Linked DNA regions of Cricetulus griseus. The protein of the gene in region 6 interacts with the protein of the main gene of each other region in a pairwise test. Links are inferred from orthologs where the notes say so. Each region holds a gene or a part of one and is shown on either strand. Other genes may lie near its edges. The genes, in order: Oip5, Hoxa9, Nck2, Frs3, Rad23a, Trip6 and Gse1.

Region 1 (3,975 bases), on a different chromosome or scaffold from region 6:
GCAGCCTTGTTTCCAATTTGAACTAATAAAAAAATAATCTCTTGGGGAAAAAAAGAAAAGCAAACAAAAAATCCACAAGATAGCAAATACCTGAGGGCCTAAGCTTTACTCATTAAAGTTGTGTAACTCAGAAACATTTCCAAGTACTCTTCATTGCCATTCAGACAGATTCGAGGAGCATCTATGGTCTCATTATTCTGTTTATATCACTTAAAAATATTTGTGATGACTGAATAGACATTTAGTGTAAATATCAGCTTGCTGTACAAATCTACGGGGTACACATGTGGGAAATCTCAACTCCAACATAGCAAGCCCCAGTCTCACAATGAATGACGTTTTCTCTGAACACCTTGCAAAAGTCCTAACCGGTTTTGAAAAAGAACACCATCACTATAGCGATCATACTATATCCCCATGGCTTGGCATCCAAATAAAGGCCCAAGAAGATTGTAGGTACTACTATCACAGTTTACTTAAAAGTAGTAATTTGGGAAATTTCCAGGAGCCAATTCAACTTTTTCTAATAACAGGCATTAGACATTACATTGATTATGTCTTATGGGTCTGTGTTTCCTTCTGGCAGCAGGAAACTATCATTAGAGTTTCTAGTAAGAGGCCTTTATGAGTTCCTGCCTCCAAATAAAATAACAGATATATCTTCTCTTTCGTTTAACAGATTCCAGCCAACGTGAGCCGAACCTACTCACCCAAAACCAGAGTCCCCCGGGGGTTCCCTCTCTGTCCCTTCGCCCCGTGACCCCCACACCCCTGGTCTCTTCTACCCCGCCGACCCAACTGCCCGCACCACCAGCCAGCACCGTACCCTCAGGTTAGCCCGGAGGCCCAGCCGTTTGGCTAAATTTTGCAGGTCGCTGTACTTGAAAGAGTCCAACTCCTCTGCAGAGGGGACGGTCATCGCGTTCTACAATCCCGGCGACACCCAGAAAAACAACCAGGCGACTCAAACAGCAGCGTTCAAAACTGGCGCCACCCAAGGCGTTGACAAGCCGACTTTTATATTCATTTTAAATGGAGGCTGCTGCACGTCCATTGGTTGAACGCCTCGGGGGTGGGGTTTTCCGATGCTGGCCAATAGAGCTGCTGAAGCGCGCAATAGCGCAAGCCTAACCAATGAATACGCGGCGCTCGACGGCTTGTGGGCGTGCCTTACGGGCATGTTGTCCAACGAGGATGCAGGAAACTTCGTTTCGGTGGAACCTGGCGCGAGCGTACAAAAAGAGGCGCCGGCTTCAGAATGATGGCTCGCTCGCGGCGCCTCCTCCCGTCCCCCGAGTCGCCGTGCTGCAGTGACTCTTGTGACACGCCTTCTGCTGCTACCTCCATGGAGTGGGACACTCAGGTGGTGTCAGGGTCTTCCCCTCTAGGTCCTCCGGAGACTGAGGTGGAGACGTCACCGGTCGACCTGCGGCTGCCTGCGTGGCTGGAACCGGAGAGGTGCGCCGTGTTCCACTGCGCGCATTGCCACGCGGTGCTCGCCGACACCGTGCATCTCGCCTGGGACCTGTCGAGGTCCCTCGGGACCGTGGCCTTCTCCAGTGAGTGAGGCGAGGGTTGGCGTCTGAGAAAGGGTAATCCCGACCTGTGGGATCGTAAACGAGCTGGGTGAGGGAGGCGTGGTTTTGTTTTCCGGAGCTGGGAATCAAACTTTGGACCGACCTCGCGTGAGCTAAGCTTGCGCTTTTGGATGAGCCCCACGCGTTTTGTTGACTTTTATGACCAGGATGAATCTGGTGGGCGGTTTTCCTATTCAAAACCCTTTTGTCTTTCAGGAGTCACGAACAATGTCGTTTTATTAGAGCCCTGTCTCGTTGGCATTGAAGGTTCTCTCAAATGCAGGTACGTGCGGAGAATTCCTGAGAAGGATCTATAGTTCCTTATTTAATGACACCGAGGACTATGTAGTTGTCGTAAACAAGAAAAAAAACTTTATTTTTGTTGTGACAAAAGTTTATTCTCTCCATACAATATATTTGGATGGTACATTTTTTATGCGTTTGAAACATGTCAACAAGGCATTAATGAAAGAAAAATTAGAGTTGGGTGTAGGTTTTAACATCTGAGGACTAAAACATCCTGTGAGATAACTAGGACTATTTAAATTTTAATTTAACTTGGAGTTTATATTACAAACCATAACAGAACTAATTCTGTAATAATCTCTGAAACTGGGGAAACACAATTGAATGTTTGGTGTTTCAGTACTACTAGTAATTTGCCTCTTCCCATATTTTCCCCATAGCAATAAAGTACTCAGCAAATTTGTGCTTATGAGGCCAAAACTAAGTTGTAACCATACCTCTATTCCACTTTGCCAAACTGAAAGACACATTCCTATTCTTATAGGAGTCCTTTCTCACCTGGTGGTTTATGCCTTTAATCTCAGTGCTTGGCAGGTGGTGTGTGTGTGTGTGTGTGTGTGTGTGTGTGTGTGTGTGTGTGTGTGTGTGTGTGTGTAGAGAGAGACAGGTGGATCTCTGTGAGTTCCAGGCCAGGCTGGTCTACACAGTGAGTTCCAGGACAGCCAGAGCTGTTACAACAGAGAAACTCTGTCTTGAAAAACCATAAATAAACAGTGTGTGTGTGTGTGTGTGTGTGTGTGTGTGTGTGTGTGTGTAAGTATGGTTGGGGGTCTTGGGGCTTGGCATATATATTGAGGTTCAAAGGCAACTTGAAGGAGTCTTTCTTTTCACCATGCTGGTCCCAAGAATTAATCTCAGTTCCTCAGGCTTGGCAACAAGTGCCTTTACCCCTTGAGTCATCTCACTGCTCCTGAAGTGACATTTTTAATATGTTTAGCTATGTAAAATATCTTAATTTCACAAAAAATAATGATTTTGCCTTGACTTTACAGTTCTACCTCTCCCTCCCAAGTGCTGGGTTCTCATATATGGAAACCTACACCAAATCTCTTTTTAAAAGCCTGGTAAGCCAGGTGGTGGTGGCACACACCTTTAATCCCAGTACTCGGGAAGCAGAGGCTGGTCTACAGAGTGAGTTCCAGGACAGCCTTCAAAGCTACAGAGAAACCCTGTCTCAAAAAAACAAATAAATAAGGCTGGGCATTGGTGTCGAACGCCTTTAATCCCAGCACTCGGGAGGCAGAGGCAGGTGGATCTGAGTTTGAGACCAGCCTGGTCTACAAGAGCTAGTTCGAGGACAGGCTCCAAAGCCATAGAGAAACCCTGTCTCAGAAAAAAACAAAAAACAAAACAAACAAACAAAAAAGAGTAGGGGAAAATATTCCACTTCACTGCCTGTTGCTATTATGACTTGTTGTCTTCCAGATTGATGGAATATTACAATGAATAGAAATTAAAATCTAGGGGCTGGAGTGATGGCTCAGTAGTTAAGAACACTGACTGTTCTTCCTGAGGTCCAGAGTTCAATTCCCGGCAACCACATAGTGGCTCACAAGCACCTTAAATGAGATCTGGTACCTTCTGCTGGCGAGCAAGCAGAAGACTGTATACATAATAAATAAAATCTTAAAAAAAAAATTAAAATCTAATTGACCTTGTTCTATATAATGAAATGGAGATACAATTTGTTTACATATTAGAAGTAAATGCCTTAAGTCCTCCAGTGTTCATGATCCAGGGCCCAACAAGCTATATTATGTTAACTCTATAGCATGGAGCAGAAAAACCCCAAACATCTTAAGGACAGTAGTAATTTTCTTTATAAGGTAGGGCGCCATGGACTGTACAAGTGATCGGAGGCAGTACAGAAATTAATTTTTGTCATAAATTATGACCTTTGTTTTTTTTTTTTTTTTAAGATTTTATTTATTATGTGTACAGTGTTCTGCCTGCATGTATCCCTGGAGGCCAGAGGAGGGCACCAGATCTCATTACAGATGGTTGTGAGCCATCATGTGGGTTCTGGGAATTGAACTCAGGACCTCTGGAAGAGCAGACAGTGCTCTTAACCTCTGAGCCTCTCTCCAGCCCA
Region 2 (4,213 bases), on a different chromosome or scaffold from region 6:
ATGCTATATACACTGGACAAGACTGGAGCCTAGAACATGGAAAGATGAAGACGCCCACATTTCAAAAGTAGAGAAATCATGAATCTATGCATCTTGGAGAACTACCTCCCTTTTCTTTCCACATGTGATTTCACGGGGAAATCCTTACAGCTAGTTTACAATGTTAGGTTGACAGTCTAGTTACACAGTTTTTCACTACAGAGCTATACTCTATGCAACCGCCTCTCCCACCCCCCCCCATAAACAACCTGAGTTCAAATTGAATTCTAGCTTCCACAATCACAATGGGTGCCTCACCCAGCACAGAAGTTTGAGTCACAAAACATAATTACCACAATAAAACACAGTGTTCAAGTATTTTAGCAGAGTGATCTGCCACACGAAGAGCAAATTAAATTAACTACAGAGACTAAAAACTATACAGCCCATCAACAGTTGTGCATTGTATATAAAAAGGTAGTTTTTTTCCCTTTTGCTTTAAGTCAGAAGCAGGTAGATTTTTTTTTAAATATATATACAAGCAAGCACATACAGCCATCAGCGCTAATGCCCTCCCTTGTGTGGGTGTCTTATAGAAAATGGAAAGCTTACAATACCTCCTCCAATAAAGCCGCAGGCCTAGGAGCCAGCCTGAGCAGGGAATGCCAGGCGGAGATGAGGCCCGGGGTTTAGAGCCTCTTTGGGCGGGGAGTGGAGGCTGGGGTTGGGGGAGAGGAGGGAGAAGGGGACAGACAGTCCTTTCTTTTTCTTTTTAGCTTGCTCTTTTCTAAATGAGCCCTGACCGGCGGCGGCTCACTCGTCTTTTGCTCGGTCCTTGTTGATCTTCTTCATTTTCATCCTGCGGTTCTGGAACCAGATCTTGACCTGCCTCTCGGTGAGGTTGAGCAGCCGGGCCACCTCGTACCTGCGGTCCCGTGTGAGGTACATGTTGAACAGAAACTCTTTCTCCAGTTCCAGCGTCTGATGTTTTGTATAGGGGCAGCGCTTCTTCCGCGTGGAGCGAGCATGAAGCCAGTTGGCAGCCGGATTATCTGCGGGGGAGAGAGACACTGGGTTTAGAAGGAGAAGCGTCCTGGATGGGTGTGAAGGTGCCTCTTGGGGGTCTCTGGCCGAACTGCAGGACGCCGCTGAATTTGTTAGAGAAAACACTATGAAGCCCTGGCAGACAGACCCTCGGAGGGTCACTTACAGCTCCCCTCTCATCTCCACCCTCCTTTCTCCGGTCCCCTGCTCTGCTTCCTTCTACGGTCTGCACATTGTGAAAGAGTGAAATTTAGAAGCCATATTCTTTTTGCCAGCAAAGCAAAGAGCAAGCTGCCCTGTATCGGTGTGACAAGAGTAACAAGAATTCTCTCTCATCGCTGTCTCCCCTTCCCCGGCTTCTCTGCAACTGTCCCCACTCTATTTGACCTTCCCGGGAAGGGAAGGCCGTGGGAGCCAGGCGGGAGGCAGGGTGCCCCAAGGCCTTTGATCACGTCTCCACTTTATTTGAATAAATCTGGCAAAGGGGCCCTAGTGGTTCCACAGCCCTCAGCCTCATCTTGGGCAGGATTTATGCAGCCACCGGCCGAAAGCAAGAAGTAGAGGGAATCGGAGGTCTCCCCAAGCGTCCCGGGTCAGGTTGCCCAGCTGACTTAGCTGCCGCAGTTCGTCAACAATCTAGCCGCACAAAAGACTTCTCTGCACTGCTTTCGAAGAACCGCCCAAAGTCTGTCTGTCTTGGGCCTGGATAGTTTAGGAGAGGGGCGGCGGGTCTCGGCTCTATTCGCTGCGCCCGCCCCGCCCCCTCTTGCTGCACCGTTCTCCTCCCCTTCCCCCAGCCGGCCCGGCCTGCTCCACACACTTCTCTGGACTTGGGGCCCCTATCTGAGGTGTTCCAAACACCAATTTCTAGTTCTCGACCCCAGATCCAGAGGCTCCCATCGAGGACGAAGGCAGGCTCGAGAGAAAGTGGATATAGATCCTGGTAGATCCTGGTAGCCGGCGTGGAGGCAGCGGCCGGCTTGCAGGAAGGAGACACTTACTGGGGTCGATGGGGGGCTTGTCTCCGCCGCTCTCATTCTCGGCATTGTTTTCGGAGAAGGCGCCTTCGCTGGGTTGCTTTTCTCTATCAACTGGAGGAGAACCACAAGCATAGTCAGTCAGGGACAAAGTGTGAGTGTCAAGCGTGGGACAGTCACCCCTTCTGGCCGACAGCGGTTCAGGTTTAATGCCATAAGGCCGGCTGGAGGGCAAGCCCGCGAAGGAGAGCGCACCGGGCGTGGGCTCCAGCCAGGAGCGCATGTACCTGCCGTCCGGCGCTGCCGCCGCCACGGGCGCCTGGGGGTGCACGTAGGGGTGGTGGTGGTGGTGATACACGGCCGCCGGCACCGCATTGGCGCCCGCCGCGTGCACCGGGTTCCACGAGGCACCGAACACCGCCGTCTTGGACTGGAAGCTGCAAGGGCTAAAGTCGGGGTGTTCGGCCAGCGCTGCTGCCTGCCTTGGGGGTTGGCCCAGGGCCCCTGGCGCATAGCGTCCAGCGCCCAGCTCGTCAGCAGCATCGGTGCCCAGCAGGAAGGAGTCCACATAGTAGTTGCCCAGGGCCCCGGTGGTGGCCATCGCAGTAGCCCGCGCCTGGCCGGCCCAACCCGACCCGCCGAAATTATGAAACTGCAGATTTCATGTAACAACTTGGTGGCACCAGGGGGGGGGGTGAAGTACAGTCACCTAATAAGTTGCCGGCGCCTGCGCCCCCATTGGCCACGCGCGTCACGTGTCCGCCCAGCAGAACAATAACGCGTAAATCACTCCGCACGCTATTAATGGCCCGGTGTTTTGCAGTCATAATTTTTATAGCAAAAGCCATATGTTTTTATGCAAAGGGATCGCGCCGCTCCACGATCTGGTTTGTTTTAATTGTGGCCAACGAAGATTAAAAGATCAAATCTGGCCTTGCCTCCGTACTCTTCCTTGCCACCCCCTCTACACACACACACACACACCAGACCCACACACATCTTAAGCGGACTATTTTATATCACAATTAATCACGCCATCAGGAAGGCGCGGGTCCCGCGTGCGAGTGCGGCCAGCAGAGCCCCTCACATAAAATTAGACAATAATTGAAGCCATAAAAAAGCAGCCAAATCGCATTCTCACTCTACTGTATTTAAATCTATATTTATGATATTTCATAAGGAGTTATTGTTTCGGAAGCCACACCGGCTGGTGGGAAGTCAGGAACAACCAAAGGATTCGTTTGCCTCGCTGCAGCTCCCTGTAAAAATTTATGAGGACTTGGAAAGGTTAAATTAGACTGTTGTGTTTGGTTGGTGAGCACCCTGTAAATAATCCTTTCGGTCTTCAGAGATGCAAGTTTGCCCCCAGGCCTGCCTTGAAAAAGTCAAATACAAGGCTCTTTCCACCTCAAACAGCGTGGCTACCTCCCCTGCTGACACACCATCCATCGATGGTACAACCACCTAGAGTGGGCTACCGAGCCTGGATAGACTATAAAGCCAGCCAGGCGCCCGCACAGCACCCACATAGTCCTTGCTCCACAATGGAAGGCTCCACGGTGGAACCACCAAGGAGGGAACTTCCAGCTGCCCTCAAGGGTTTGAGGACCTAATTGTGTCACAAACATCGCCTGGGCTCTGGCCCACGACTTTGAGCACAGGCGGTTCAGCGAATTCGATTCCTCAGCCAGCGACCCTGTTCTCAGCTCCATCATTTGTAAGCCCTCTCCCCAGGTTCGAGCTGGGGAAAAAAATATCTGCACCAGGAGAGTTTGTCCTGCTAAAGGGCAACCTAGCCTAAAAGAGGCACCAGCTTGTATGGTGGCCCTCCGAGGGCCCAGTGTGAGCCGTTCTGGGGTCCTCCCCTCCCCTCCTCTCCTCTCTTTCTCTTCCATCCCACATCCCTTCCTTCCAGTCCTCTTTCCCCCATTTCCCTTCCTTCCTAAACCGCCAGCACCCCTGCTTGGTTATCCCCCAAACAGAGCAAAAGAGACCCCCAAAACTAGGCGACTACAGCTCAAGTCCAGTGCTATAGATTAACCCAGGAGGAGCAGGGGACATTGACTTTAATCATATCCCTTGGCCAAATGGAAAATGGTATTTTTTACCCCTTAGAATCTTGGGGGATGACAGAAAGTAAAAAGGCCACAGACACTATTGTTAATTGTGGTGTGTGTGTGTGTGTGTGTGTGTGTGTGTGTGTGTGTGTGACC
Region 3 (4,069 bases), on a different chromosome or scaffold from region 6:
ATGCAAAACTGAGAGCCTGGAATCGGACTACGGGGAGCTGGAAACCACCTTGTATCTGCTCTGCCCATTTTAAAGGGGCCAGTCTCTCCACAGGTGGGCTGATCAACTCTCAAGCAGCCAGGGCTCATTCAGCAACTCCCCACCCAGGAGTCGCTGCACATCTAAGAGGCTGAGAGCAAGGCAGGTGGTGGGGCTGTAACTCCAAGTTTTACGGCCGCACAAAGTTCTCAATTTTAGCCTCAGACCACTGGGACCTTTCTTTCTTCCATCAAAACTACATTAACCGACTAGAATGTGAGAAAGTTTAAGGTAGGACTGTCCCTTGTGGTCATTTAGGAACAATCCCCAAGGTCTAAAACCTTAACTAACTGAAGTGCACTTTCTCCTTGTGTCCACTGGCTGCCTTCGCTATATTAAACACGAATGTCTGTTTCTAAATCTCTGTATCTATAAACACTTGGAAAGTGAATGGAGGGGAGTGCCCACGATGTTTTGATAAAGTGGTGACCTTTACACTAGAAAACCACTGTTGATAACTATACCCAAAACCCAGGCTTGAAACACATGCAAAATTATTTTCATTCCTCCTCAAAACCCCTGCAGAAAAGCCTGCAATGGGTGAGGAGCAGCAAAGGAGTCTCCAGGCCATGCCCACTGGCCAATGGGCTGTTTCATTTGGGGTCAACCAAGGAGCAGGCCTGGGCACCTCCAACCCAAACTGGGACCTGTTCATCCCAGACACAGACTCAAACTTGGCAGGATTAGCCTTTAAACCTCTTAGCAAAATAAGGAAAAGTAAATAAGGGACAAACTGCCGACCTGAACAGGCTAGGGTGGCAGGGCCCACGCTATTTAGCGCCCAGCTGTGTCCCCAAGCTATTCACAATACTACTGTAAGTCACGTCTGCTATCCATTAACCACCACCCAGAGTCCCGCGCACACCTTCCGGGAGAATCGTTACAGTGTATAAATTACAGCGTTTTGCAAATCAAACCCCTCCACACAATGCCAAGCTAACAGTGCTCAAAAGGGAGGTGCCGTCGGGGCATTAAAAGTCCCACATCAAATTCTTGCAAAAACCACTTGCTTAAATCGCCCTGAACAAACCGAAGGGGCAAGGCGGCTGAGAGAAACTTTGGCTCTGGAGGTTTAAGCCTTGGGAATGAGGGGCAGGGCACACGGACTGGAACCTGGCATAAAAGCGCCCTGCACCGAGGCACGGACCTCTTGTATGAGACGTGACAGTAGCTTTGTGCCGGATCACTTATAGTTCTAAATACAGTAAGTTCTCCCCGGCCATCGCAGCCCCTAGCTTCCTAGCGCCGGGGCCCTTAGATCCCAGGCTATTCTTCCCAGGCACGCGCGCCCGGCGACCGGGCCACGGCTCGGTCCCACGCCCGCCCGCCCGCAGGCCAGGGCTGCTTGTGCTCCCGGGGGCTCTCGGTCCTGGTCCCCGGTGTCAGCCCGAGGAGGGCGCCCCACCCCCACGCCAGCCCAAGGCTGGGGAAGGCGAGGGCTCGCAGAAAGGTGTGTTTCCGAGGTGCGGGTACCCGGGGACGCCCAGGCCGCGGCGGGGCCGAGGGCACCAGCGGGGCGCGCAGGGGGGACGCGCTCCCTGCTCCTTCCCGGGCGGCCCCTGCCCGCCGGCCCCTCTCTCCCAACTCTACCGACCCAACCAAGTTTGCAGCCCCCCGCCCGTCGCCTTACCTCTCTATACACCGCACGCCGAGGCCGGAGGGCAGAGGCGCGGGTCCCGGGGCGGCGGCCGCGCTGCGCCCGCCCAAATGCCGCTCTTTGTCTACGCCGCTCCCTCCTCCCGCCGCCGGGCGGACGCTGCCGGCCCGGGCGGACCCCGCCGGCCGGGAGCCCCGAGCCCTGCCCGTTGCCGAGCCCTCCCCGCCGCCGCCGCCGCCGCCCGCTCGGCCGCGCGCCCCGGCCTGCGATCCGCGGCGGCGACCCTCCCGCGCAGCGCCCGCCTCCGCGCGCTCCCCGCCCGCCCGCGCTCCTCCCCGGCTGTCGTGACGCCGCCCAGGGGCCGGCCCAGCTCGGCGCGCGCCGGGCGGGGGACCCACCTGGGAGTCCCGGCCGGGCCCGGGAAAAGCGCCGCCTGCGGGCTTTAGGCAGCAACCCGCTCTCGATCGGAGTTGGGGGGCGGGCAGGGGAACGAGGAAAGAATGCAGTGCTACTTCCAGCCCGCTAGTCCCACCGGGTGGTCTCCGCACCCCCGCTGTGCCTTGGATTCTTACAGCGACCACCCCATCACCCCCCCTCCCCGAAAGCATTCCCACGGCACTCTCGGCCAAGCTGGCCTGGTGTCCGTCAGAAAAGTGACTTACATAAAAATGTCACTTCCTCCCAGTAATTGCTTGTGGGCATTTTCTTTATTTATTTGCCTTGCATCTATTTACTTTCCCAACCAGACACTTTTTTTACTCCATCCTCTCAGGCGGGACCACTTCCTAGGGGGAGGAGAGGAAACCCGACCTCCGCTGCCTCCCGGGCGCCCAGGCCAGCTCTATGGAGCCTGGGATTTCTCATTTAGCACAGGAGAAGGCTGGGAAGGCGCCCTCGCTCAACCAGCCTTGAGTAGTGGCTAACCTGTAAGCAAATTTAGAAAGCTAGAACCCTAGAACAAGAGGAAGGAACACATACGCCTTACACACCGGAATCCAGATGTTTCTTCTCCAAGCTCCTTCTCTCATGGTTCTCCAAAGGAAGCCTTAATATTCAAATGAATTCAGTTTCTGGTTGGGTAGCTCGCATTTATGTTAATGAGATTCTACCCTGGCCCTTGGCTCCTCCTTATCAAGGCAGAAACAATTCACCCTAAGTGGCCAGTCAGCTGCCTCCCTCCCTAAAGGAAGTTTCCAGCCATGGGTAACCTGAGGAAGCTTGGCTTTGTAATCATAGCACGATTGTAGGCTTCCTGAACTGTGTCACCTTACACGTGTCTTTCACAACCTTTCTCAACTTTATCACGTGAGATGTTTGCCTGCTTCCCATGTAAAGTATCTGGCACATAGCCCGACCAAAAAGCATTAGGTACAAAATCAGCATATCCGACATCCCCTTCCAGTCGGAGATGCTATCTCCTTTCATTCTTTTGTGCAGACCTCATCCTGCTAATATCTAGCTTTACAATAAGGAAAGCAGAACGGTAATCAATAGTTTAACCGTATTTAAAATCCATTCACTCTAAATAAGGTAGGACAATACAGACCCAGCTTTTTTAGCCTTTTCTTTGAATAGTGGCCTCAGACTGCTTCTCTTACTATTAAATCCCTAGGGAGGTTTGAAGAAGAATGGCTCCCATAGGCTCATATGGTTAATCCCCAATTGGTGAACTATTTGGATTAGGAGGTGTGTCCTTGTGGGTGGCGGTGTGTCACTGGGGGTGGGCTTTGAGGTTTCAAAAGCTAGGCCAGGCCCAGTGTGTCTCTCCACTGCATGCCTGCCTGCTTGCTGACATGCTCCCTGCCTTAATGATAATGGACTATGTCTCTGAAATTATAAGTAAGCCCCCAATCAAATGCATATATATATATATATATATATATATATATAGAGAGAGAGAGAGAGAGAGAGAGAGAGAGAGAGAGAGAGAGTCTCTTTACAGCAAGTCCCCAGGTCCCCAGTGGCATCTTGTATCTAAATTCAATAGCTCCTTCTCAAACCCTAGCCCATCTAGTTTTCCTGCAGACAGGTGACACTTTTGCTGTTGTCTGAAGTCCAGCATCTTGTTGTAAGGTCTTTCGTTCCCATTCTTACTTTTCTGGCCAGCCCGTCTCTGTCTGTGAGTAGTTGTCTTCCAAGCATCAGACAACAGTATTCCCAAAAAGGGTGTGGTGTTTTCATTGTGAGATGGATGTTTTCTGTATGTATGTGTGTGCTAGTGTTTATGGAGACAAGATGGCTTTTGTCTGGTATTCTCCCTGATGACTCTCACTTGAACCTATAGCTCTCTGATTTGGCTACTGCAACTAACCAGACTGCTGGGGGAATCCCCTGCCTCTACTTCCTGAGGGTTGCATATCCACCTGGCATTCACGTGGATATTGGGAACACAAA
Region 4 (4,290 bases), on a different chromosome or scaffold from region 6:
AATCACCAGGCTTTTGAGTGTTCTGCAGTTGTTTATAACCATCAGAGCACCTCCCAACTCCAAGTACCACCCCCCCCAGCTCCCCTTCAAATATCCAGTGCCACCCCTCCCTCCTTCCTGACTCCACACCCACCTGCTTCCGGAATTCCTGTTAGTCCCTCAGGTCAGGTTTCCTGTGGAAGGTGGCCAGGATGGACTGTCCACACTCAGGGGTGGGAACAGCCACACCCCTTAGCAGCACTGTTTCAGCTCCACGAAACAAGGGAGGGGGGGTGCGTTTCTGGGGCCCCAGAAGGGGACTTGTACCCTCTTCCTGATTAGTTCTAGTTTGCATGGAACTGTCTGGCACACAAAATAACAATCAGAATTCAGACCTCTACCCTTCATCCTTCATATCCCCCATCTCAAGAGCAACCTAGGGACGGACGTTGGTGGCGCATGTCTTTAATCCCAGCACTCGGGAGGCAGAGGCAGGCGGATCTCTGTGAGTTCGAGGCCAGCCTGGTCTCCAGAGCGAGTGCCAGGATAGGCTCCAAAGCTACACAAAGAAACTCTGTCCCGAAAAGGAGTGGGAGAGAGAGGAGAGAGAGAGAGAGAGGAGAGAGAGAGAGACCTACTTCACCCCCTGTAAGTCCCCTCCTCTCTCCTTTCAGGTAAGAACAGATCAAACACTGGCTCCGCCCCCTCACCCCAGATGCAACCAAGCTCAGGGTTCAACCTCCCCAAACAACACCTCTTCTTGGAAGGATGAGCCCCAGAGGCCCTAGGGACTGGAGGGCAGTGGACGTGGGAAGGTGTCCCTGAACCAGAGGGAAAGGGAGGAGAATGTACGTTTTCATTAAGTGGCCTCTCGGCAGAGCCCCAAACTTTTCCTAGGACTTTGCAGGTCCACCCGCTGAGCGGGGGTCAACGTGTGCTTACCAAGTTCGCTTGGGGTCCCTGTCTACCTGCTGGTCTAAGAGTAGGGACTCAAACTCTCCGCAGGGGTCTCAGCGTGGCCCAGTCTCTCTCTCTGGAGAGACCCCCCCGTCGGTCTACGCCCCCGGTGGCCCCGACCAAAGGGTGCTGCAGACTGAGGATCGCGCTCGTGGGTCTCAGGACGGGGAGGGCGCAGGCAGGCATCCATAAACTTAGCGACGCGACGCTCCACCGCCGAACCGCGAGGCGTCTGCAGCCCCTCGGCCGGCCCCCGGCTTCAGCCCCGCCCCCTGCGGTCCTCTGCAGCTCCCCCCCTCTGTCCCCAGTGGTCCCTCGCCACTTTCCCTCCTGGATTTCGAGTCCTGTCCTGCTTCAGTGGCCGACCCGCTCTGCTGCCTTTGGTGATTCTCTTCTGCTTGAGAGATCGCTGATACCTACGTTCCCCGCCCCACCCGGCGCCTCAAGCCAGGCCACGCCCCTATGGGTTCCCAGGCTCCGGCCCCGAGCGCCCTCTGGCGTCTGCGCATGCTCTCTGCCCCCGACTGCAAAGTCCTCCAAAGGGACCTTCTAGGCTGCCTGCCGGTGGCCCCCGCCCGGGTCGGCCTGCCCGCAGCGTCTCGTTGGTGCAGCCGGTGACCTCCGACCCCGCGGGACCGGAGCGGGGCGGGGCGGGGAGGCCTTAGCTGCGGGCGGGCGGCGGCGGCTGCTGCTTCGGGACCCGGGAGCGGGGCCCGGCGCCGCCCGGGCCGCGGGGCGATGTGAGTCGGGGTGCGGCGGGGCGGGGACCAGGCGACTTTTCCGAGGCCGTGTCGTGCCGCGCCGCAGTCTCCGCTCCTACCCTAGAAAGCCCCAAACGGGCGGGCTAGCGGCGGACCCGGGGGCTGGGGGCGGGGATGCGGTCTCGGAGGGCGGCCGCGACCTTCGCATTCCGTCTGGGTATCTAGAAAACCTGTAACCAGTTCTGCCTCTCGCTCCCCAGACCCCACCTCTCCTCTCTCCCCTCTCCCCTCTCTCCTCTCCCCGGTTACACCTTCGGGTCTCCGGGATCCCGCAGAACCCCCTCACTCACTTTTCCAGACCCACAGACACATCTCGTTCTCCCCTCAGTGGCCCAAAGGCTTCCGCAGTCACCATCCTGAAATGCCTCAACCTTTTCATTCTTTTTGCTCCATGCCGGAATCCAGAATCCTCACCCATCTTCGTATACATTTTCAGTCCTCATACTTCCATCTAGTGTCTGTCCCCAAATCTAACTACCTCAGACCAGAGCCTCCCCCACCCCACGCAGTGTAATCCCACTCTGGATTATCTAATAATGTGTTTGATATCTCAAAGAAAAGGAGGGGTATCGGAAAGGTACAAGCCCTCCCCCATCTTGCATCCAGTGTACTTGGCTTCCCATCCCTTCCCAACACCCTGTTGACAGTTTAAGCCCTATGGTCTTTTCAGTACCGCCTTTAGCCTGCACACACCTCCTTCCAAAGCCAGACCAAGAGTGTGGGGATTCTTTTACCTAAGTGTTGTGCAAGGGTGCAGGGCTGGTGGGGGGGGGGGGGAGACACACCGGGAAGTACTGTTTTCCTGGAACAGGAAGGAGGGATTTCAAGAGTTTTCTTCGGAGTCCTGGTTTGTCAATTCATCTACCTAGGGCTCAATCTGAAACTTTGCCTCTTGTTGTAACTGGCCTTCCTGGCACTAGGAGCAGAAAGCCTGTCTAGCTTTCAAATGGGCAGTGCCTTATTAATACCTATTTCTAGAAGTTACTTCAGCTAGAACTCCCATGGTTGACAGATGTTTCCTAAAGAGGGGCGGGGGACAAGAGTTAGAGGTCTTGGGGGGGGAGTGACAAGCCCCCACCCAGATATGTCTATGTCATAGCAGGAAAACATTCCTGCGGGTGAATGTTGGTTTTCAGAGGCTCAAACTCGTGCTCTTGCTGCACTAGCATTTGTTAATATTGTTGTTCTGAGAGAGAAGGGTCAGGTGATGGTCTGAGCTGCACCTGTCCCAGAGGGCACTCCAATGATGGCTGTGAACTAAAGGTGCTGGGCTATCGGAGTTCACTGCCGTTGGACCTAGGGAGTTCCTCCCGGGACTGAGAATTTGTAGACCTTTACCAGAGATTGTGTTCACTGGCCTTTCTGTTAGGACCTAGGCCAGATAAATCCAGGTGGGATGCACTGCTAACAAGTCTGTCTCATGGAGAGTTAGGGGCTGAGGATAGGTTTCCATTAATGTGTGATCTCTGTCTCCTGTGCTAGGTGAGCCTCAGGTGTGACCCACAGGGATCCAGGTGACGTCTCTGCAGACTCTTTGCCATGTCACCCCACCAAAGACTGGGGGAGTAAAGTGGGAATTCTTTCCCATGCCCCTCCCATGGTCAGCTCCCCAATGGCCTGGGTGAGGTAAGAACTGTGGCTAGGTGTCAGTTTTGTAGATTTCTTAACTTGGGAGAATTGTAGGGAACAGGTCGCTGGATTGTTCAAGGTCCTACCACAGCAGCAGCAGTTCTGGGATAATCTGCTGCCTCATGGTTTTTTGCTGGCTGAGTCTAGGAGTGTAGCTCAGTGGTAGTAACTTGTTTGGGCTCTGTCCATGTGTTTCTTGTTCCCTTAGGTCACTAAGGTCTACGAGGTCTCCTCTCCATATTAAGGCAGAAACCTGTCTGTTGTGACATGTCATCCAATTACAAGTATCCTGAAGGGAAAAGCCAGCCAAGGTCTTTTATCTGTTCTTTGGCCTTTGGGAAGAAAACTAAGCATTCTGGTAGTTATTTTAGAGTGCTGGTGGTTGAATCTGGTGCCTCACATGAAAGTCTACCACTGAGCTACATGCTGAGCCCCAGAATTTTTTTCTCAGTGAAGAAATACCTAATCAATGTTTTTTTTTTTTTAATCATGCTAGTTTGAGCCCAACCTGGTAGTATGCACTTTTACTCCAGCCCTTGAAAAATGGAGACAAGAGCTCTGTGAGTTCCAGTGTTCAGTCATTAAGTGTGGGGTTGTTTTAGTTTATTGGTTTGTTTATCGCCCCCCGCCCTCCCCACACAGTCTTTCTCTGTGTAACAGCCCTGGCTGTCCTGGAACTCACTGTGTAGACCAGGCTGGCTTTGAACTCACAGAGATCTGCCTGCCTCTGCCTCTGAGTGCTGGGATTAAGGGTGCATACCACCACCACCCGGCATAGCTCATTGTGTTTTATGATCACAGTGTAGCAACAGTTTACTTGAGGAGAACATCAGAATTACTGGTTTCCAGTGGAAATTGGGGTGGGGCATGAAAGAAAAGTCAGAACATGGATAGAGTGGAATGGGTAAGGTAAAAGCTGAGGAAAAGAGAAAGCAACAAGACGGTATCTGGGACACCAAGTGGC
Region 5 (4,272 bases), on a different chromosome or scaffold from region 6:
GAAAGCATGGCTTTTGAATGGTGTTACATCTTTTTTTTTTTTCCTTTTAAGAGTTTTGAGGCAGGGTGGTCTTGGTATGTGTCCTTGGCTGTCTTGGAATTCACCATATATCCAGGTCTGGCCTGGGATTCCCTTCTTGCCTTCCCACTGCATCAACATACCTGTCCCTCCCTCCCTTTTTAAAAAAAGTTTTGACAAGAGTTTCACTGTGTAACACTGGCTGGCTTAGAACCCCACAAGTGGTCTGCTTCCTCAGTGCTGGGGTTAAAGGCATGTCCTGCCACCACACCTGCTGCCCTACAGGGTGGAAGTAGAGTCCTGTCCAGAGCCAGGGCTGTCAGAAGTTACTGCTGACCATATGTCTTTCCATTCTTCCCCAGGTCAAGTCTGGCACAATCTTTGACAACTTTCTCATCACCAATGATGAAGCCTATGCAGAGGAGTTTGGCAATGAGACATGGGGTGTCACCAAGGTGAGCTGGGTTCCTGCTTCACTGGGGGTCAACTGGGAGAACAGGCAGGCAGGCAAAAGCCAGGTACTAAAAGGTGTCTGTGCCACAGGCTTCAGAAAAGCAGATGAAGGACAAGCAGGATGAGGAGCAGAGGCTGAAGGAAGAAGAAGAAGACAAGAAGCGTAAAGAGGAGGAAGAGGCTGAGGACAAAGAGGATGAGGATGACAGAGATGAAGATGAAGAAGATGAGGATGAGAAGGAGGAAGATGAGGAGGATACTACCCCTGGCCAGACCAAGGATGAGCTGTAGAGGCCATACCACCTGCCTCCAGGGCTGGACTGAGGCCTGAACACCCCACTGCAGAGCTGGCTGCTCCCAATAATGTCTCTATGAGACTCAGGAACTTTTCAGTTTTTTCCAGGCAGGTTCAGATCTGGGGTGAATTCTGATTTTGTTTCCCTGCCTCCCCCCAACCTCCCCCCTCCCATTTTTTTCTTTTTTTACTGGTGTTTGTCTTAATTCTCCTTTAGCCCTCAACCTCCTGGCTTCTCATTTTGAATCAACATCTTTCCCTATGTCCCTTTTCTCTATCCAACCCCTGGTCACAACCCTCCCAACTTCAGGAACGGGTGTGGAGGAAAAGTCCTAGGCTTGAGATTTCATCTGCTCTCCTTCTTGGATCTCAGAGGAGTGCAGGAGAAGGGGGTGGTGTATCCCTCCCCCAGCACTGAGGAAGAATGGGGGTCTTCTCATCCCCGTTCTCCCTTGCCCCCAGGACTGGGCCACTTGTGGGGCAGCCAGTTCTAGCACAGCTCACACTGAGAGTGTAAGAACTACAAACAAAATTTCTATTAAATTAAGTTTTGTGTCTTCCCTATCGTGTCTCCTTCTCTGGGAGGATTACGTCAGGGAATCAAAGGTGGCCTTTTGAGGTGCTGGTGGCTCATGTTTGAGCTATTGGAGTTGGCGGAGTCCAACAAAGTGACATGGCTGCATATGATATGTATCCTGTAATCTTAAGTAGGAACGCAGCTGTCAGGTTTTGATGCCAGGTCTCCCTGTAGTAATTCCCTTGTCCTGGCAACAGACATGTGATTGACAGCCTGGTGCTGACTACTGGGGCGGATATTTGAACCTTAATCTTAACCATCTATTGTTGGTTTCCTTTCTGAAACTACTACATAAGATAGTTGGGCAAATTCAAACCTCACATTAGTGGAGTAAATGCTGGTAGCTCATTTTATAGTCAAAGAACTAAAGTCAAAGATAGTGAGTGGCTTAACCCAGCGGCCAATATTTCTAGGACTAAGCTGATAGAAAAGGGATTGGTTTAAAGATTGGGTTGTGTTCCGTTGGAGATGGCTTACCTGGCATGCCCTACCACAGGAAAAAAAAGAAAATGGGATTCGGGTGACTGATGGGGTCTCAAGGTTTCCATTTTAAGCTCCACTGAGTAGGTTGGAAGGTGGGCAGGAGGCCTGTGTTATTAGAAGGAAACTGATTCGCCCTTGGCAGAACCTTGCTCAGGTGACCAGAGGGAGGCAGGCCTTTGGCAAGTGCTTTGTCACTGGTGTGGCTAGAAATATGGCAAAGCAAGCTCCAAAGTAGTGAGTATTAAGTGTTGATGCCTATGTTGTATTTACTGAGAACTTTAGCTTCTTAAGTCACCCTCAAGATGCCCCAGCTTCCCAAGTCTGACATTTCATTACCTTTTAGTATGTGGTGGTAACCTAAGGCTTGTAATACCCCTTACCTCCCAGAAAAATAGGTGCAAGCAAGGAAAGTCTATGGGAGGAAGAATGAAGTATTTAATACAAAGGAGCCTTGCACATATTAATACTTTTGAGGTGTTTAATAGTTATTGCAGGACCATGAAGAGGTAGGGGACCCATGAACTAGAAGTCAAAGCTTATTCCAAAAGTGATGATAGTCTTGAAAATGGAGCCACATAAGTTACCATTTTTACCTTTGAGATTTATAGTAACTTCACTTTCTTCTAGGCTTGAGTAATTAACAGTGCTCTGTGGGATTTTTTAAATTTTTGCCATGTCCGAAATAGGTCAATAATCCTATAACAAATACCTTAAAAACTTGGAGGTGGAAGGGGGGTAGCTCAGAAGCCATTTTACAGGCATATGACATCACTATTAGGCATGACATCACCCAGACCCTATGATGTCTGTTCCCACAGCAAAAGCTCAAAGCTGAGTTTGCGCATGTCTAAGGTAAGGAAGCGTTGCCGCGCATGCTCTAGAGGTCGAGGGGGTCACAGGCGGGTCATATACACTGACGATTTGCGCGCGCTTCCCTCTTGTCCCGGAAGTGCTTTCCCTACGGCACAGCTGGGCGCTAAGATGGCGGCGGCGTGAGTTGCATGTTGTACGAGGATCCTGGGGCTGCCGCATTGCTCCGGCCCCGCCATGGCCATCACCGTCACGCTTAAAACGTTGCAGCAGCAGACCTTCAAGATACGCATGGAGCCTGAGGAGACGGTGCGGGCCGGAGCCCGGGGGCGGGAGCGACCGGCTGTCGGTCGGGGTGGGTGGGGGCAGGGAGGCCCGGATCCAACGGGAGGGGCGGGGAGGACTTGCGGCCGGGCCCTGCTGCCCTTTCCCAGCGACCCGACCTCCTCGCACCCCCCTTCCCATCGCCCCTGCCCTGCCCCGGGGCTCAGGCGCCCTTCCCGGGTTGGCCCCAGGGCGAGTCCCCAGTCCCGCTCCTGTGCCAGCTGCCGACTCCGCATTCCCAGCCTGCAAGCCGCTCGGGTGACCACGTTTGGCGTCAGTGGCCAAGAGGTGCCAACTGGTGACAACAATGTTGATAATAATAAATGGTCTTAATCTTAATAGTTTTGGTGGTCCGTGTTTGTTGGCCGTTTATTCTTTGCCAGTGTCGTCTTGCTGAATCTGCAAAATAGTGTTGTCCTTTGGGGACTCCTAACTTTCCCCGTTTGACAACCTCAGAGTTAAGGAAGTTTGCCATGGTCACAGCAAGTAATGGAAGAGACGGGATTAATTTTTTTTTTGTTGTTTTGTTTTATGTAACAGACAGCAGCCTAAACTTGCTGCATGAACTTTGTTTGCTTTTGCTTTTTGAGAGTGAGGTCTTGTTTTGTTGTCCAGTGCTGCTTTGAATTTCTGGGCCCAAGTGATAGGTATTGCCTTAGCCTCCCAAGTAGGTGATACTATTGTTTGAGCCACCTCCCCTGAATCTTCTCAAATATACTATGAAGCCACTGCTATACCCTTAGTGAAGTCTAGGCATAGTGGTCATGTCTATAATCCCTGAACACTGAGGCCAAGATGGGGATTGTTTTAAGTTCCAGACCAGCCTGAGCTATGTAGTTAGGCCAGCCTGGAGTGCAGAATAAGACCATTTCAAAAAAGGAGGGGGTAAAGGATTTCCTCAATAATTACAGAACAGTTAACTTTTTGTGGCCAGCAGTGGGTATACCCTTTCATTTCCTTTTTACTGTTTCCCTTCTCAACAACATGACATCTGAAATACAAGTTTGCTTTTTTTCTCACATCAAGGTCTTCTCCATGAGAACAGTGACTGAATTCTGTTTTGTTCTGTTCCACAGGCTGTTGTAAAACAGGGTTTGGGATGGAGCTCTTGTAGAACAATTAGGCCACCACAATCACACGCACATACACACACAACGAGCAGCATAAGTGTCTGGCCTGTAATAGATTGCTGTCGACTGGCCACATTGAGTAGGAGTCTCTTATGATTGAGAGCAAAGCTTTTCCCCTAAGGTAAAAGGGTCAGGAAAGGTGTCTTTATTTTATCTGAGACAGTTTCACTATATAGTCCTGG
Region 6 (4,149 bases):
CCAAAACTACAAACAGGCAATCAAAGAAACAAAACCCAAAATGTTCTTTTGGTTGATGGACCAAATGATCTCTGGAAACATGTGCCCTGGGTTGACTTTAGAGCCTGTCCTGGAACTAGCTCTTGTAGATCAGGCTGGTCTCGAACTCACAGAGATCTGCCTGCCTCTGCCTCCCAAGTGCTGGGTTTAAAGGCATATGCTACCACTGCCTGGACAAACCTGCTTTGTAGCTAAAACTGACCTCAAACTCCTAATTGTCTCTCCTGCAGATAGCCACCACGTGGAGCTCCTTCCTTCTTCTGTTTCTGCTTGAGTTCCCAGCTTCAAGCCCCCTCCATCATCTGCCCCATCTGACTAAGTATCTGGCCCTCTCTTAGATGGGCAGGAACCCGCCTACCCATCTTGATACTTAGTTTAGCCCTCTTTCCCCCAGCCCAACACTCACCACGTAGCAGCTCTCACAATATGCCCTCCTCTCCACAGCATAGAAGTGCTGGCCCCGGAGCTGGGCCCGACAGGTAGAACACACAAAACAACCAACATGGAAGACACGGTCCAGGGCCACAACCCCAGCTCCATCGCCAACCACATCTTCGCCACAGCCACCACACCGACCTGAGGATAGAGAGCAATGAGCATCAGTCTGTACATATCCATGTCACCAGAGCCACCATCTCCTCCCTCTGCCCACCCTACCCACCAGGTCAGCTCACCAAAGTACTCCCCACTGGGCGGGTGGCTCATGTCATGCACCAATTTCTTGGTCAGTCTCTCTAGCTCTTCTTCCGGAGGTTGGCTTAAAGGGACCTACAGTGAGAATCAGGGCTTTGTGGTACTACCTACAGTCTCTGATACCATGAATAATCTGTAAGGTCAGAACCCTGAAACTCATCTGAGAACATCTCCCAGAAGCTAATGGGGGGGAGGTACCTAGCCCATTCCCTTTGGCCATTTTGACCCATGACCTCTAAGTACTCCAAAAACCAGGATTGATTTATTCATTTATTTATTGTTGGAACAGTGTCTCATATAGCCTAGGCTGGCCTGGAACTTGTTATGTAGCCAAAGATGACCTTAATCTACTGATCCACCTGCCTCTACCTCCACCATGCTTGTGGATAGAACCTTGGAACCCCTGCATAGTAAGCAAGCACTCTACCAACTGAACTGCCTCCCCAGCCCTAAACCAGTATCCTAAGTACTCCATGCCACCCAATCAATGCCCACTTACCTAAAATGACCACAAACCCAGTGTCCCCCATCCCCCACCCGGCTCACCTGGGGCCCATGCCCGCCTCCTCTTCCTCCTCCTGCAGGGCCATGTATCCCAGCGGCTTCCTCCTTTACCCCTGGTCCTGGCTCACGGTGGCTCCTATAGCCAGACCCCCAGACTTCACTACGGCCTGGCAAAGGAAAGTGGGGGCCTGGAAGAGGCCCAGAGGCCTGAGAGGCCCTCCGCCTTGGCAGTCCACAGCCTCTCACTGGTTGAGCCACCTTCACTTGTACAGGGAAAGCAGGACCAGCTGGAGTGCTGGCTGTGGCGTAGGAGGCTGGGGTAGGTCCACCATAAGGGGCTGCTGGGAGCATAGGGGTTGGAACAGCACCTCCACTGGGCTTCAGGGAGCCTGCGCGGTAAGCATGGGGTGGAGGGACCTCAAAAGCCTGGGGAGACACGCAATGGAGAAACAGTGAGTAAGGCCCTAACCAACATCCATGCATTCCAGGTGGGAACCACAGAGAAGCAATGATTTCTGACAAGTTCCCACGGGCAAGGCCCGGCAAGGAGGCAGCCCGTGCTTCCTTGAGCCAGCTGTTCATTAGTTGCAAAGTGTGGAAAGGATGGCTTCAGGCTGAAGAGCCACAGAAGGGAACTGGCTAGGGATGGGGACGCAGACACAGGACACAGGACACAGACCTGTCGGTCTGCCCGCCGAGGAGCATGACTGCGACCCCCGTCCAGATCAGCCAACATGCTAGTGAGTGAATCTATCTCAGCATCCAGGCTTCCAGGACGGATGACACCCCTGTCTGGCGGGAGCCCCTGGAGACAGAGCCAAAGCAGGGAGAACAAATATAGACCACAACCCTTGGGCTTCTGTCGCCTTCACCCTGAGACAGAGACCCACACATCCTCCTCTCATCTCCAATTCTCACCTGCAGACGCTGGGGTGCTCCGTGGGAGCCCACCCAAGTAGGCCCCCGATCGTCCGGTACCCCCGGAGGCTGATAACACTGTTCAGGTGGGAGGGGGCAAAAATTGACCCTGGGGTGGGGCTGGAGTGCTGTAAGGGAGAGAACAGAGGTGGGAATGGAGAATGGTACCTCGTGAAGGCTGCCCTGCTCGGGGTGCCTCTCCTTCACGCATCTGGGGCGTCTGGGAAGGGCTAGGAATCAGGGAAGGTTGCACAAGGGCAGGGGCCTCTGGCTTGGGGAGGAGACATCAGAAAGCAGACAGACAGGAGAGAAAAGGTGAAGGAGAGTGGCCAGTAGCTCCCCCGCCACTCCCGGGTGTGCGAGAGACAAACACTTACTTGCTCCGTGGGCCGGTGGCGGCCCCAGGGCGCCTCGGGGAAGCGCTCTTCCCTGGGGGACTCTGGAGGGCTCTGGCTGCTTCGGGGGAAGCCAGGTGGGCCCCGACATGGTCTGGGATGGTTACTCCACTCCAGACAGAGGTCACGGCCCCCACAAGCCCGGAGCCCTCCTGTCCCGTCCCACGCCCGGTTTGGGACTCCCGCAAAGAAACTTTTTCTGGCTTTTTTTTTCCCCCCTTCCTCCCCAATTTTGGGGCTGGCCCCGCCCCCTGACGTCACCACATTCCTAGAGAGGGTCACGTGGTCCCCCTAAACCCTAATCTGCAATCCCTCCCCTCTCTCTCTTTCTGTGGCCCCCTCCTGTTAAGAATGGGCCGCCCGCCTCGGGAGCCAAGCCACAGGGTGAGCTGCAAGGCGCTCAGAGGCTGCGGCCCAGCCCCTTCTACGATCCCTGCCCCAGGACTGCACGTGGCAGCCTCTCGGCCGGGACCTCAAAAGGCTTCTGGTCTCCACCCCCCTACAGATCTCTCCCTTCCCACCCACCTCCCGCTCACCTACCCACCAGCAGTGCTCCGCCAGCCCATAGTGTTTTGGTCTTTTATTAATGGTCAGTAGTTAGAAAAATAAAACAAAACACAAACATCACCACCCAAGGAAGTGGGAGAGGGAGGCGGTGCGTCTGTGGCCAGGATGGGGACACTGAGGTAGCCTAGAGTCGCAGAAGAGACCAGCCCCTCTGGTCAAGGCACCAATGAAGGAAGTGGAGGCAGGCCAAGGGCAGGGCCACAATGTCCTCCCAGGACTATGGGAACAGCCACCCAAAATTAGTGTCTACGTCCCCCCCATCCAAAGGAGACCATGGTCCCCTTAAAACATCATCCGAAGGGCAGAGTCCACTGGGGGATCCATTGTTCAGAATGGGCCTGGGCCCTCTATGCAACCCTGTCTCAACAGGCTTCAGAGATCAGTGCAGGTGACTGGAGTGACTCCATGAACAAGAAGGGTGGGGCCCAGGTCCCGGCTCAGGGTTTCCAGCAGCGCCAGGTATCTGGGGTAGCGGGCAGGATCGGCAGGCGGTCGAGGCAGGTACAGGAAGGTGAGGGCAGTAGCAGGTCCCTCCTCCCCATCCCTTCCTTCAGGCCCCCCAGGGCCTCCTGCCGCGCCTCGCCCCTGCTGGGCACGCACCAGGGCGTTGGCACTGCAAGCCAGAGCCTCGGCCTCTTCATCTCCTCGACCACCATTCACAAAGTCCCCTTCCTCTTCTTCATGCTCCCCAGTCTCGGCCCCTTCACCCCACACCACCTCTTGCACCTCTGCCCGGATCCTGAGTTGACTCAACAGAGCCCGCAGCCTGCCCTCCGCTGCCCCAGGAGCCTCCCTAGGCCCCAGGCACAGGAAGATCCGGAGCCGGGCACTGTGCCACGCAGGCACCATGCTTAAGATGGTAGCCATCTGCAACAGGAAAAGGCCACAGACGTCCACGTAGCCAGGCCCACCCCGGGGCCGCAGCAGGTTCAAGGGCCACACGTCCACGTGATGTAGCTGAGCGCTGCTGCTGGACCCCCGGCTTAGCCGCTCCGGGGGCAAAGCCCCACAAGCCCGGGCGAGAACCACATTC
Region 7 (3,500 bases), on a different chromosome or scaffold from region 6:
GGGCTTGATGTGCACCCAGTACTGGAAGATGCTAGGATTAAGGTAATCCTAATGTCAGGCTTGTGACAGAGTACCACAGACAGGTTTCTTGGTTTAAGAAGTCAGAGCATGAGGGGAGGGGAAGGGGCTGCTGAGGCCTGCTCCTTTACTTTTAGATGGTATGTCCTCTGGTGGCCTTGACTGTAATCACTTCTTTAGGGGTCAGCAAAGACATATTTACTCAGAGGCACCAAGCTGAGACAGATGAGGGACAGTCCATGACACCATAAAGTGCCTAAGGTGGTGTCTAAGTCTTGGGTCCCTGGGTAGACAATAGCTGTCACTGCTTTTGGGGAGTAGGGACGAGAGTATAGGCCAACTGATAGTCCCTGATCCCAGCATAAAGGGGTCTTGGGTGCATCTGCAGCCTCCCAGCTGGCCACATATGAAGCTAACTGGACGGGAGGAGCCAGTGCCTGGAGCTTCCCCTTTACTCTGCTGGGCCTCCCACCCGCCTGGCGCCCGAGGGGCCTGGCTAATTAAGAACCGCTGTCAGCTGTGGCTTTCCCTGGATTCTCCAGCCCTATTCCCAGAGGGATTGTACTGCTAGGAAGTACTAATTAAACTGCAAAGATGGAGGGGGAGGGGGAGAGCGCATCTCTTTCCCAGCTGGGCTGGGGCAGGTCTGCTGGGTGTCCCTGGTCCCCAGTAAAGTACACCCCCCCACCCCACCCCACCCCTTCCAGCATCCAGCAGACTCCTGAAAGAAGCTTGGGGGCCAGCTTTGGCACCTTCCTCCTGTGGCTGGAATAGCACTTACCGAAGGAAGCCTGTCTGTCAGTCTGTCCCTGAATTTCAGCTTGGCTCCGAGCAGCCTAGAACCATCCTATCCTGATTTAGGATAGGTCACCATGATCCCCTGTCTGTGGACTCCTCCCAGAGCTCAGCCTTGACCTCAGACAGTGAGTCGGCTGATGTTACCCTCCATACAGCTTCCCTTCCCTGGGCGGCCGACTTGCCTGGTGGCTAGCTGGCTCTGGGTCCACTCCTGAGAGAAGCTTGTCGGAGGCCACTTCCTGCTCCTGCCTTGAGCCTGGAGCCTCCACTGATTGGAGGAGCCCTTGGCCCAGGTCCAAGACACCTCATGTGTGCCTGCATGTCCCCTGTCCCTGTGCCTCTGCCTCATGACTCCTCTGCCTGGAGCTTGTCACTGTCCTCAGAGGGTCCTTACCACCTCAGAAACATTTAGTAACCCAGAGAAGGGCCGTGATGGCTCCGCTCCAGCAGTTCACACTGCAGTTAATGAGACCTGTGTGCCACCAGGGAGGGCGACAGAATGAGCAGATGATGCTTAGAGCTCAGCAGAGAGCTTAATCCTTTCCAGGAGGGCGGGGATGCGGCTCTCCCTGCAGTGTGGCCATGAGTCACTGGGAGCCTCTGGAGGCTGTATCCACTGTTGGAAGTCAAGGGGGTGGTGGCTCTGGGGCCCTGCTCAGGGGGTGACCAGGCAGTGGAAGCCGCATGAGGAGAGATGAAATGAAAAACGGTCTATTTTGAAGCTAACAGGCATCTCCCACTTGCCCAACTGTGGAGACCTTGCTCTAATCACTGGAGAATGACAGTTCCCTCCTCCCCTAGCTGATGCCTTTCATGGATGCAGCTGCGTCAAGCAGCGCTACAGATGTGTCTTGTCTTTTCCACAGCCGGGCATCCGATGCCTTGGGACGGCCACCAAGCCTGGTCTTTTCCTTCCTCCATCACCCACGCATCACCCTAGCTCCCAGCTGACCTATTTCCCTGATGTCTGGCTCAAGTTCAGCCAGGCCCTGGTCAGAGCCTGATGGCCATTCTTCTAGTCTCCTTGTTTGTCCTGGTGTGGGTGGGATAAGTGCCCCCCACCTTTATGGTTACTGTGTGAATGCCCCTCCTGAGAAGGGCAGGTCAGAGGTCATGAACCCGTGAGGACCCCACCGGGAACCAAGACAGCCTGCTGCTATACTCTGGGAAGGAAACAGATGTTGCTGCTCATTAAAAATTCAATCAGCAGCCTGTCTTCCTCAATTAATCGTGGCTGTCTGTCTGTGGGGAGCAGGAGGGCTTGTGTTAGGCTCTGTGAGAATGGAGCCAGAAGGTGCTATGGTAACCTGCCCCCTCAGTTCACACACAGAGGCTTAGCTGGTAACACAACAGTAACCTCCCCCCTTGTTGCTTTACATGGGCTTCAGTGGCCATCACCCTCACAGTGCTAGATGACTTGAAGGACGAGCTGGCAGGCCTGTCTCCAGGGACAGTTGGTGTTACTGTGCTAGGCTACTATGTGCCTAACAGTCACACCCACAGATTTAGCAAGTATCAGCCAGTGTGTACAGGACAACGTGAGGCTGGATCTCCCCAGGCCCAGGGATTACTGTGAGCCGCTCCTGGGGTCCCACAGCCTAAAAGTATGAAAGAGTGTCCCCAGTGTCCAGAATAGCTGCTATCTTAAGTTGCAAGTTCCTAGGGTATATGTGCTGTGACCTTATGACTACCCCATGTGGGATTGATTGTGGGAAGTAGTGCAGACCTGCTCATGGGAGGCCATACTTTCCTTACCCCATGCCTTCTCCCTAAATACCTCTTTTTTTTTTTTTTTTTTTTAAAGAAAACATTAGAGGGCCAGGCGGTGGTTGTGCACACCTTTAATCCCAGCACTTGGGAGGCAGAGGCAGGCGGATCTCTGTGAGTTCTAGACCAGTCTGTTCTACAAGAGCTAGTTCCAGGACAGCCTCCAAAGCCACAGAGAAACCCTGTGAACCCCACACACACCTAAAAAAAGAAAAAAAAAGAAGAAGAAACATTAAAGGAAGGATGTTTCTATAATACGAGCTAAACAGGGGCCTTTCTGTGGACCTGGCTGGCTCCCCATGCCCTAATGCTGTGTCTTCTTCCCACAGGACTCTGTCTCACGAGGCAGCAGCAGTGGTCGGGAGCGCCTGCTTGTGGAGCCTCCTCTAGCCCAGGAGAAGGCAGCAGGCCCAACCATTCCCTCCCACCTGCTCAGCACCCCCTACCCCTTCGGCCTCTCCCCCAGCTCGGTTGTACAAGACTCCCGTTTCCAACCACTCAAGTAAGTGCCAGGCTAGGGAAGACGCGGGGTGGCTCCAGGCAGGCTTGGAATTCACACCAGCTGATGGAGGGTGCCGCTCTTAGCCTCTGGCTGGCTCTGTCCTGAAGTCCTTGGCCCCATCTGTGCTTGTGGTCCACTCCATGCTGAGACTTAACACTTCTCCTAACCACATTTAAACCCATCTTCTGGGTCTGGGCACAGAGAGCTCATCTAGCAGCTATGTCCACTGGTGGGGACTTTAAGGGCCAGACAGGTCTGAGGGCCAAGCAGCTGCCCTTCTGTGTATTCTGGGCCTGATGGGAGGTGGAGTCGCAGGAGCAACCTTGCACTGTTGGGGAGTGTGACATGTTCCCAGACCAAAGTGAATCCTCTACTCACCCGCCTCTTCTCCCGTAGCCTCCAGCGGCCTGTGCAT

Evidence for each region.
Region 1: the proteins of Trip6 (region 6) and Oip5 interact in binary tests that used the Homo sapiens proteins (3 or more experiments, as listed by UniProt). The two-hybrid records come from large-scale screens. The link is inferred for Cricetulus griseus from reciprocal best matches to the Homo sapiens genes TRIP6 and OIP5.
Region 2: the proteins of Trip6 (region 6) and Hoxa9 interact in binary tests that used the Homo sapiens proteins (3 or more experiments, as listed by UniProt). The two-hybrid records come from large-scale screens. The link is inferred for Cricetulus griseus from reciprocal best matches to the Homo sapiens genes TRIP6 and HOXA9.
Region 3: the proteins of Trip6 (region 6) and Nck2 interact in binary tests that used the Homo sapiens proteins (3 or more experiments, as listed by UniProt). The two-hybrid records come from large-scale screens. The link is inferred for Cricetulus griseus from reciprocal best matches to the Homo sapiens genes TRIP6 and NCK2.
Region 4: the proteins of Trip6 (region 6) and Frs3 interact in binary tests that used the Homo sapiens proteins (3 or more experiments, as listed by UniProt). The two-hybrid records come from large-scale screens. The link is inferred for Cricetulus griseus from reciprocal best matches to the Homo sapiens genes TRIP6 and FRS3.
Region 5: the proteins of Trip6 (region 6) and Rad23a interact in binary tests that used the Homo sapiens proteins (3 or more experiments, as listed by UniProt). The two-hybrid records come from large-scale screens. The link is inferred for Cricetulus griseus from reciprocal best matches to the Homo sapiens genes TRIP6 and RAD23A.
Region 7: the proteins of Trip6 (region 6) and Gse1 interact in binary tests that used the Homo sapiens proteins (3 or more experiments, as listed by UniProt). The link is inferred for Cricetulus griseus from reciprocal best matches to the Homo sapiens genes TRIP6 and GSE1.

Annotation. Positions count from the first base shown.
Region 1 is NC_048599.1:58,866,844-58,870,818, forward strand, and holds the start of Oip5 (protein Mis18-beta), read left to right. Parts: upstream 1-1,175; 5' UTR 1,176-1,258; coding exon 1,259-1,559; intron 1,560-1,793; coding exon 1,794-1,860; intron 1,861-3,975. Other genes in the region: Nusap1 (nucleolar and spindle-associated protein 1), read right to left, coding at 827-919. UniProt on the Homo sapiens protein: Required for recruitment of CENPA to centromeres and normal chromosome segregation during mitosis.
Region 2 is NC_048601.1:89,118,375-89,122,587, reverse strand, and holds the start of Hoxa9 (homeobox protein Hox-A9), read right to left. Parts: upstream 2,801-4,213; 5' UTR 2,602-2,800; coding exon 2,025-2,601; intron 1,032-2,024; coding exon 793-1,031; 3' UTR 1-792. UniProt on the Homo sapiens protein: Sequence-specific transcription factor which is part of a developmental regulatory system that provides cells with specific positional identities on the anterior-posterior axis.
Region 3 is NW_023276807.1:5,069,783-5,073,851, forward strand, and holds the start of Nck2 (cytoplasmic protein NCK2), read right to left. Parts: upstream 2,801-4,069; 5' UTR 2,665-2,800; exon of another isoform or gene 2,654-2,664; intron 1,896-2,653; exon of another isoform or gene 1,709-1,895; intron 1-1,708. UniProt on the Homo sapiens protein: Adapter protein which associates with tyrosine-phosphorylated growth factor receptors or their cellular substrates. Maintains low levels of EIF2S1 phosphorylation by promoting its dephosphorylation by PP1.
Region 4 is NW_023276806.1:255,491,768-255,496,057, reverse strand, and holds the start of Frs3 (fibroblast growth factor receptor substrate 3), read left to right. Parts: upstream 1-1,490; 5' UTR 1,491-1,676; intron 1,677-3,179; 5' UTR 3,180-3,323; intron 3,324-4,290. UniProt on the Homo sapiens protein: Adapter protein that links FGF and NGF receptors to downstream signaling pathways. Involved in the activation of MAP kinases. Down-regulates ERK2 signaling by interfering with the phosphorylation and nuclear translocation of ERK2.
Region 5 is NC_048596.1:159,529,258-159,533,529, forward strand, and holds the start of Rad23a (UV excision repair protein RAD23 homolog A), read left to right. Parts: upstream 1-1,472; 5' UTR 1,473-2,873; coding exon 2,874-2,945; intron 2,946-4,272. UniProt on the Homo sapiens protein: Multiubiquitin chain receptor involved in modulation of proteasomal degradation. Binds to 'Lys-48'-linked polyubiquitin chains in a length-dependent manner and with a lower affinity to 'Lys-63'-linked polyubiquitin chains.
Region 6 is NC_048597.1:116,225,497-116,229,645, forward strand, and holds the start of Trip6 (thyroid receptor-interacting protein 6), read right to left. Parts: upstream 2,801-4,149; 5' UTR 2,641-2,800; coding exon 2,532-2,640; intron 2,283-2,531; coding exon 2,155-2,282; intron 2,042-2,154; coding exon 1,916-2,041; intron 1,663-1,915; coding exon 1,279-1,662; intron 808-1,278; coding exon 714-807; intron 616-713; coding exon 446-615; intron 1-445. Other genes in the region: Slc12a9 (solute carrier family 12 member 9), read right to left, coding at 3,489-4,149. UniProt on the Homo sapiens protein: Relays signals from the cell surface to the nucleus to weaken adherens junction and promote actin cytoskeleton reorganization and cell invasiveness. Involved in lysophosphatidic acid-induced cell adhesion and migration.
Region 7 is NC_048596.1:197,185,358-197,188,857, forward strand, and holds part of Gse1 (genetic suppressor element 1), read left to right. Parts: intron 1-2,912; coding exon 2,913-3,085; intron 3,086-3,481; coding exon 3,482-3,500.